2 linked regions of the Mus musculus genome follow. The protein of the gene in region 1 interacts with the protein of each later gene in a biochemical or structural test. Links are inferred from orthologs where the notes say so. Each region holds a gene or a part of one and is shown in the gene's direction. Other genes may lie near its edges. The genes, in order: Cacybp and S100a6.

Evidence for each region.
Region 2: the proteins of Cacybp (region 1) and S100a6 are reported together in a solved structure, tested with the Homo sapiens proteins (2 studies listed by BioGRID and IntAct, with this or other methods). The link is inferred for Mus musculus from reciprocal best matches to the Homo sapiens genes CACYBP and S100A6.

Annotation. Positions count from the first base shown.
Region 1 is NC_000067.6:160,210,092-160,214,523, reverse strand, and holds the start of Cacybp (calcyclin-binding protein), read left to right. Parts: upstream 1-1,631; 5' UTR 1,632-1,856; coding exon 1,857-1,877; intron 1,878-4,432. UniProt on the Homo sapiens protein: May be involved in calcium-dependent ubiquitination and subsequent proteasomal degradation of target proteins. Probably serves as a molecular bridge in ubiquitin E3 complexes. Participates in the ubiquitin-mediated degradation of beta-catenin (CTNNB1).
Region 2 is NC_000069.6:90,611,159-90,614,932, forward strand, and holds S100a6 (protein S100-A6), read left to right. Parts: upstream 1-1,735; 5' UTR 1,736-2,068; intron 2,069-2,584; 5' UTR 2,585-2,608; coding exon 2,609-2,746; intron 2,747-3,032; coding exon 3,033-3,164; 3' UTR 3,165-3,256; downstream 3,257-3,774. Other genes in the region: S100a5 (protein S100-A5), read left to right, coding at 353-496. UniProt on the Homo sapiens protein: May function as calcium sensor and modulator, contributing to cellular calcium signaling.

The DNA of each region.
Region 1 (4,432 bases):
TGACTCCATGACAGGCTTTAAATTGACCGTTTGACTGGGTAAGGCCAGTCCGCAGAAGCTGCCTCACCACCTGGCCTGAGGCAAGGACAATGGGTCGGCACCAGTTTCCAGACTTCTTCAGCAACAGTTTTTAGTCTCCATGCCCGAGTAATGGAATGTCGATAGAAATGGGGTTAGAGGTCATCCCCTAGGGAATAAATGGAATCTCCTAACATGCATTAAATCAGGCCTTCAAGCTCACTTGGTTGACTCTTTATTTCTGGTAATGGGAGACTCCAGCACCGCTGGACTTCTGCAGAATAAAACACTCTGTGCGTTTACATACTGTTTGAGCCTAGGGTATGATTCTTAGACCATTCATGGACTCTTACAGGTTCAAGGCCCCTCTTGCTCTTATGTTGTATTTAGTCTAACAGTCATGTTCGACCTGGACCCTTCCCTCTGCCTGTCTTCCTTATAGCTACAAAAAAAAATTAAAAATAATAAAAAAAATCTTCTCCATACTTTAGAAGTAGCCATGTCCTCCTCCTTTTTATTTCACCTTTTCATAAACTTCAAAGGGTGGCACCTTTCTGTCATTGTCCACTCCAGAAAAGGATTGTTTTTATTTTTATCACTATAGGCCATGGGACTGGTGGTTTGAGACTTTTATTTAAGTTGCAACTATACACGACATACATCCCTGTCTAACTTGTCATTTTGTGCAAGTTTGTGTGAGAAGTTCGTACAGGTTGCATGCCTTAATGTTACATTAATATAAAGTGTAGTGTAGCAGCATTTTCCTTGACTTGCTGATGCTAGTAACTCCCCTAAGCATCTGTAAGCTGACAGCAGATTGCTCTACCTCCCAATGGGTACTGTTTGTTTTCTGTCTCGGTTTACTGGGTGTTATGGACGTCTCTATGCTGTCATAATTAAGATAATTTGAAAAACGGTTTTACGCTGGGGGTTTACTAATCCGGGCTGCTGCAACCCAAAGTCCTAAGAATTCCTCCACATTTTACGTGGAAATTCACTCAATCCAAACCCTGCTGAAAATACAAAATAAACCGCTAGTAAAGAGCGAAGGCAGTGGAAAACTTCGTATCAAGAGCTCATATAGGCAAGGGAGAATGGAGCGTTCGGCCACTTGAAACCGTGCCGCTTTCCACCACGGCGCCCAGAGCCAGTCAGGAAGCCCGTGCAACCTTCCTACAGTCCCACGAGATGGCGCCACGTCAACGGTGCTAGACGCAGGACGCCTCCAGAAACCCAAGGCCCACTTAAAGCCATTGTTCTACTTAGGAGCCTTCCTCCCTTAACAAATCCGTCCTTTTTTGATGGTAGTTGTGCTTCTTTGGGGGCGCTCCTTTGTTCTTTCCCGATACCTCAGAGCTGCCGAAGACAAGATGGCGGCCTGGCAACTCCGCATCGCACCAGCGGAAGCAGCCCTTCTCGAGACACTTCCTATCGGGTCCCCAAACCTTTGAAGGTTAGTTCCGGGGCTAGGTCTGGCCGCGGTTGCGAGCTGCGACTGCGCAGCCCGGTTCTGCCGGCGCGGAACGACGTCTCAATCGCTGGGGCGGAAGGAAGTGGCTGGACGCCTCCTGAGCATTCGATCGCTCGCGAGAATTGAGCGTTGCTAGGCAACCAGCCTGGGGGCGGGACTAGACTCGGAGGGGCGGGGCCTTGGGAGGCTCCGGTGGAGCCTTGCGAAGGTTCCAGAGCCGTCTCGTGCGGAGGGCGGGCCGCCGTGTCGCGCCGGGTCTGTGGAGCTCGCTGCCGGCGCTGCGACGCTCGTGGGTGGCGTGTTCGGCTTTTCCTGTCTGCTTCGGTGCACCGCTGCAGCTCCGGCCTCGGGTCTGACGCGCGACGGCATGGCTTCCGTTTTGGAAGAGGTAGGGGTCGGCCTGGACCCACCGGCTCGCGCCGCCGGGCGGCGGCTGCTTTCCCGGGGCTGATGTCCTCGGCTCTGCCCCCGTCGCGGGCCCGCGGCCTCTACGCCGCCGCCTGCCTGGGCCTGAGTGTCCCGGCCGCGGCTGGAAGGTCGGGGGTGTGTCTGGATCCCAATTTTTGGCGCGGTTCGTGGTAGGCTCGCGGGTGGCGGTCCCCTCTCTCCATTGCCTGAGGTCTTCTCGGCTCCCGGTTCCTGGCCAGGGATCAGAAACCTTCCTGCAAAGCTCTGAGCTCCGGGCCGGGGGCCATGGGAAGGAATTCCCATGCCCGCATGACTAGTCATGGTCACCGCTTTCATTTTATAGGTGGTTATACATACATTCTCTGTATTATTTCTAAACGCCCTGGACAGTGCTTATGGTTTCAGTTTTTATTTAGCAGTGCCAGTGGCGGACCTGCAGGCCTTACACACGCTAGGCAAGCTCTCTACCGTTCCGGTATACCCCCAGTCTTTATGTATAAAAGCAATTTTTAAAAAGTTACTGGGAATTGAGCAGTAGGTACGACTAGGAAATTGCCTGGCGTGTGTTTTTAGATTTGTAAAAAATGAATGTGAATGACTTGACTTTTTGGATCCTCGAGGTCTCCATAGCAAGAGTAATTGAATTGCCGGGTTTTGGCCAATACAGGTTTTATGTGATTGACATATTGTTTTCACAGAAACATTGGCTGTTAAGATTTGCTTTTCGGAAACTTCTCCCTCACTTAGAAATCATGGGCTTTAAACACATAAAAATTAGGAAGTTAAAGTATTCATCTGGGTATCTTGCGACAAGATAGGCAGGCACCACGTGCTCACTGGGAGAGTGGAGAGGGTGGCTTAACAGTTGTGCAGCATTAATTGTCTCCAAAAGAGAAGGGACTTTAGACTTGGAGCTATGCATATAGGGGCATGTTTTTCTTCTGAGATTAAAATTCACCTTATTCAATCATATTAAGATGTGAAATTCAACTTTTTCTGTCGTACAACCATCAGTGTTACCTAGTTGCAGACTATTTTCGTTTCCTTAAATAGAAATCCATTGTAGGTGCTCCATCTACTTAGGCTGGAGCCTTAGGATTTTCTAGTTCAGTCGTGGTATCAGTATGGCATTCCTTTGGGTGGTTGAATACTGTCCCATTGTACAGATGGAATTCCTACTCTTCTGTTTCTCCATCTTGCCGATTGTGATTTCTTGTAAACAAGTTTTGTTTTGTGGGCATGTTTTTAGTCCGTGTAATTGCCAAATAATAGGGAAAGTCTTAGGAAGCTACCGTTTCCACAAGAATTGCACAAAAGGTGCCATTTCTCCACACATTCACTAACATTTGTTATTTTATTGGGTGGTTTTTGTTCATATGCTAACATCCACATGAGGGTGTAGTACCACCTCATGCATTGGCTATGCATCTTCATAGCTGTGTGCATCTATTTGTGTGTGTACCTGGTGTCCAATTCCATGTCTTTGTGGAGGAGAGTTGGGTTCTTCCATTTTGAGCAGTTGGGTGGGAGTAGGTCTCACTGAGTACCCCTCACTTGGTCTTTGAGATACACTTGCCTCCAGAGTGGCAGAACTAAAGGCATGTGCCACCAGGCCAGACCGAGCCCCTATTTAACAACTGGGAAACAGATTCAAAGGGAGATAAATGTTTATGTATAGAAAACAAATGCATGCCAAGAAGGCAAGAAAAAGTGGACAGGAAACTGTTCTATCTAATCCCAGTCAGAACCTACACTGTCAGTGGTTTCTGGGCTGTGAATACAAAAATCAAGCAATGGTTCTCCTGTAGGTCGCATCAGTTGGTATCTTACTAAAGAGTCCATTAGAGCGAAAACTGGGAGGGCCTGGGAATTCTGCCATGAGTCAGCTCAAAAAAAAGATTCCCATTCCAGTTTAAAGCAAAACCTTTTCCTTTCTCCGTTTGTTAAGTAAAGCTCTGTCCTAGGAATAAGTACTTGCTTTGCTTTTAATATTTTTTTTTATTATGCTGATATTTAGAATCTGTGGTAAAGTCCCACCAACCCACTTTCACCAACAGTGGTACTTGATAATCCATATGAATTTTGAAACCACTGAAAAACTTTGAATGAAATATCTTGATTCTAAATTCAAAAGATGAGTGACAGTTTTGCAGTTTTGGATCTTAGAGTCAAGTTTCCTTGGGATTGTAGACCGGAGTTTCACTGTTGTGCTTTTTATAAACTGTTAGGAAATCATAATATAATGGCCACAGAGTAATGAGCTATTTGAGCTATTTTTTTTTTTTTACTATCTAATATCTAGCATTTAAAATATTTTAAAATTATTTTTTATTTCTTGAAATTATAATAAATATAAATATAATAAATCATTTCCCTCTTCCTCCCTCCAATCCCTGCCATTTGCACTCTTTCAATTTCATAGTTTCTCTGTCTCATTTTTTTTTCATTGTTGCATACATAGTCTGTGTGATGTTACTAGTAGGTAAGCTCAGGGCTGACCGTTTGGTACTGGGCTCTTCTGGGGAAGACTTTCTC
Region 2 (3,774 bases), on another chromosome or scaffold:
GCCAGGCCAGGTTTTAGGGTAGGGGGCATGCTGGGTTCTCAGTTCCAGTATACTGATCTTACAGAGAGTGGTGATGTCTGGATCCTTTACCAGCTTGGCCTTACAGTGCAAGCAGGATAAGTCTAGGACTTAGCTCAGGATGATGCTCAGGGCCACATAGCCAGACCTCAAGCTGTTTTCAGTAGGAATTGGTATGAATTACAGATTATTATTTCTTTGGATGGGAAGATGTCCCAGGAGCAAAGGCTAGACTAAGCCTTCCTACTGTAATTCATTTGGAATATGGTCCTGTGGTAAAGGTGTGGGCTGGGGCTGGGCTGCTGAGTAGTCTCCTCCTCTTGGGCCCTTGTAGAAGATGAAGGAGAGCAGCATTGATAACTTGATGAAGAGCCTGGACAAAAACAGCGACCAGGAGATTGACTTCAAGGAGTACTCTGTGTTCCTGACCACGCTGTGCATGGCCTACAATGACTTCTTCCTAGAGGACAACAAATGACCAGGACACTGGCAGCTCCTGATCCTGACCTCTGCAGCCTCTTTAACTGCCCCTCCTATGGCCCCTGCCCTTCTCTTTCTCCCAGATGGATCCTTCCAGCAGAGAAATAAAGCCTTATCCATTACACGCACTGGTTTTAAGGTGGTTTGTGTCTTGGCTGAGGCAGGGGAGAACAGACATTTTGGACCACTAAGCCTTGGGCCACACACAGGTGGTCTGTGGATAGCAGGAGCTGGGCTCTCATCCCTCTTCACTGGCAGTCCTTCATCATGGACATTGTTGGAGGTGTCCTGACTTTGTTCTGCACTCCTGTAAAATAACAAAGCTGCCCAGACAGCAAAGATGCAGAGAAAACAAGAGAAAAGGCCGTGAGAGCTAGGAGGCCAGAGGGATGGGCTGTGGCCCAGCAGTGATGGTCCCGCAGGTCTGACTTGGGGATAGCCCGCAGGAGACCACCCCAGGAGCCCTTCTCCTCTCCCTTCCAGGAACACCCCTCCCATTACTCACTGAAGAGTGACTTCAGGATGCTAATCCCTCCCCACACCCTACCAACTTCCTCTTCTCAAGACTCCTCCCCATTACCCCCCCCCACCCCAGGAGAAAATGTTCAAAACTTTTCACTTGAGATGAGTAACTGAGAATGCTCGCTGGGCTTGGCTCTACTATGTGCACATTCATGCATAAGCTGCTCTAAGGATGAAAATCCAGGCAGTGAGTGGGAGGAGGCGAGTGATGTTGCTAGAAATTTATGGTTGGTGGGGGATGCTGTTTAAAATCTTTTAGACTGTGTTCTTTCCCCATGCCCCCTTTGATACAAGGCTCAAAATTCTACCTTTTGGGATCAACGTCTTTAGCTATATATCAAGATTTAGACCAGTGGTTCTCAACCTGTGGGTTGAGACCCCTTTCACAGGAATTGCCTAAGACCATCTGAAAACACAGATATACACATTAAGATTCATAACAGTAGCAAAATTATAGCTATGAAGTAGAAACGAGAATAACTTTATGATTGGGGGACCACCACAACTTGAAGAACAGTATTAAAGGGCCGCAGCATTAGTCAGGTTGAGTGAGAACCATTTCTTAGAGGATGTGGTAGACAGACTGCTTCCCCTCCCTCACTTGGGGACCTTGCCACTAGAGGGCAACAGCATCAGTGTGGTTCCCAGTCCCCCTCACACTGATGCTAACTTTAAGGACACTGCTCTCGGGCTGGCAGAAGGTTCAGCACACAAGCCAGAGTTTCGAGTCACGTGCCAGAAGGGAAAACTAAACACGGAATTAGAGAAAACTTGATGCCTCTGGCTTGCACTGGTCTCCTTTGGGCCCGTTAGGGCCCGCTAAACTCCCTCATTCCGCTCCTAATCCTGGACAGTCCAGGCAACAGGGGCGTGGAAAGTTGAGGGGGCTGGGATGTTCGTTTGCCTTGCCTCAGGCGCTGGGTGGGGTCGGGGCGTGCCAGCACTCCCTGGGCGGACCTCACGGATGCTGGCCACTATAAGGCCGGCCAGACTGCGACACATTCCATCCCCTCGACCACTCCTTTGGCGCTTCGCTGTCGACCGTGCGGTGAGCTCTCGCTGGGGGGTCCCTCTAGGGTCTTTCTGCTCCTGGGCAAGGGGTTAAGCCACTTCCTTCCCCCGTCAGCCTCTGCAGGCTCAGTGGGTGGAATGCATTGGGATCCAAGTTTTCGGAGCCCAGGGAGGCAGGGAGAGCCATGATTAGGTGGGTTGTATCAGGCAAACCCAGAGGCTAATGCATCCCTATGGGGCGGCAACCTGAGTCTGCTCTTCTGGGGTGCAGGAGGGTTTGCCCTGGGTGTGTCATCGTCCCAGTGTGTGGCTATGTCAGGAGGTGCCCAGGGGCACTCTCCATTCTCTTCCTTGCTCAGTCATATGCCCTAGTTCTCTTGGAAGCCCTGGAGGACAGTGCTCACAGATCCCAAAGCCCCTTCCATTCTTATATCCCTCACCTAAGTTGCCCCGGCTGCCACCTGTGTTGGCTTGAGACTGACTGCCTCAGGCAGGGGGGTGGTGAGAGAACTCTCTGCTATCAGCAGCACTGACTAGCCCCTCTGTCAAACAGCTTCTTCTAGCCCAGTGATCAGTCATGGCATGCCCTCTGGATCAGGCCATTGGCCTTCTCGTGGCCATCTTCCACAAGTACTCTGGCAAGGAAGGTGACAAGCACACCCTGAGCAAGAAGGAGCTGAAGGAGTTGATCCAGAAGGAGCTCACCATTGGCTCCGTGAGTAGCCCCTGTCCCGGTTCCCCCTCCTGCCTCTCATCTGAGTGGCATTTAATCACAGTTCCTGATCTTACTTCCTGTGGAGGGATGCTCGTATGCCTCCATGCTGCCCTGTCCCCTGAGGGAGGAGCAGGGGCTGAGGAGAGTAAATCAAGGTAAACCCAAGCTGAAGGCCCATCTTTGGTCCCAACGAGCACTTGTTTGAGAGAGGACTTCCAGGGAAGGGGTAAGGAATCTAGGGTGTTGGCCACCACTGAGTGTGGACTTCTCCTTCTTAATGTATTAGAAGCTGCAGGATGCTGAAATTGCAAGGCTGATGGATGATCTGGACCGTAACAAGGATCAGGAAGTAAACTTCCAGGAGTATGTCGCCTTCCTGGGGGCCTTGGCTTTGATCTACAATGAAGCTCTGAAATAAAATGGGACCGTTGAGATGACTTCCGGGGGCCTCTCTCGGTCAAATCCAGTGGTGGGTAGTTATACAATAAATATTTCGTTTTTGTTATGCCTACTCATGTGTTCTGGCTTCCCACTGATTTCCAGTTGCTTCCTGCCTTGCTGCTGGACCCACCATCCAGTGGTCTTAGTCACAGTTAAACTCTGGGAGTAGTAGCTCATTGGCCCACCAGGCCAGGTCTGCCAGCTGACCAGGAATCTTTATGGGTATTAGAAGAGGAGGCCCCTCTAGGCAAAGCCACTCTAAACAAAGGCTCAATCAAGTGACCTTCAGGAGAAAGTGGCCTTTAGAGGCAGGTCTGCAGTAGTCCCAGCAGTCTCCTGGCAGACACACTTTGGTCTGGGTGTGGTGAAACAGGGAGTACTAGGTGGGCCCTGACGTTGGGCAATCCACCTTTTCACTGTGTGTTTGTGTGTTATATGAGGGAGGCGTGGGGAGAGGCACATCTGAGGTGAGCAGGGAGGGACACAGGATGACTGAGTTTTCCGTAGCTGCCTGTGTTCCAGTTGGAGGTGGAGGAGACTGTAGGAGACGGTCCCTAGTGTCAGGTATGGGGTCCTTTTTGTTGAGC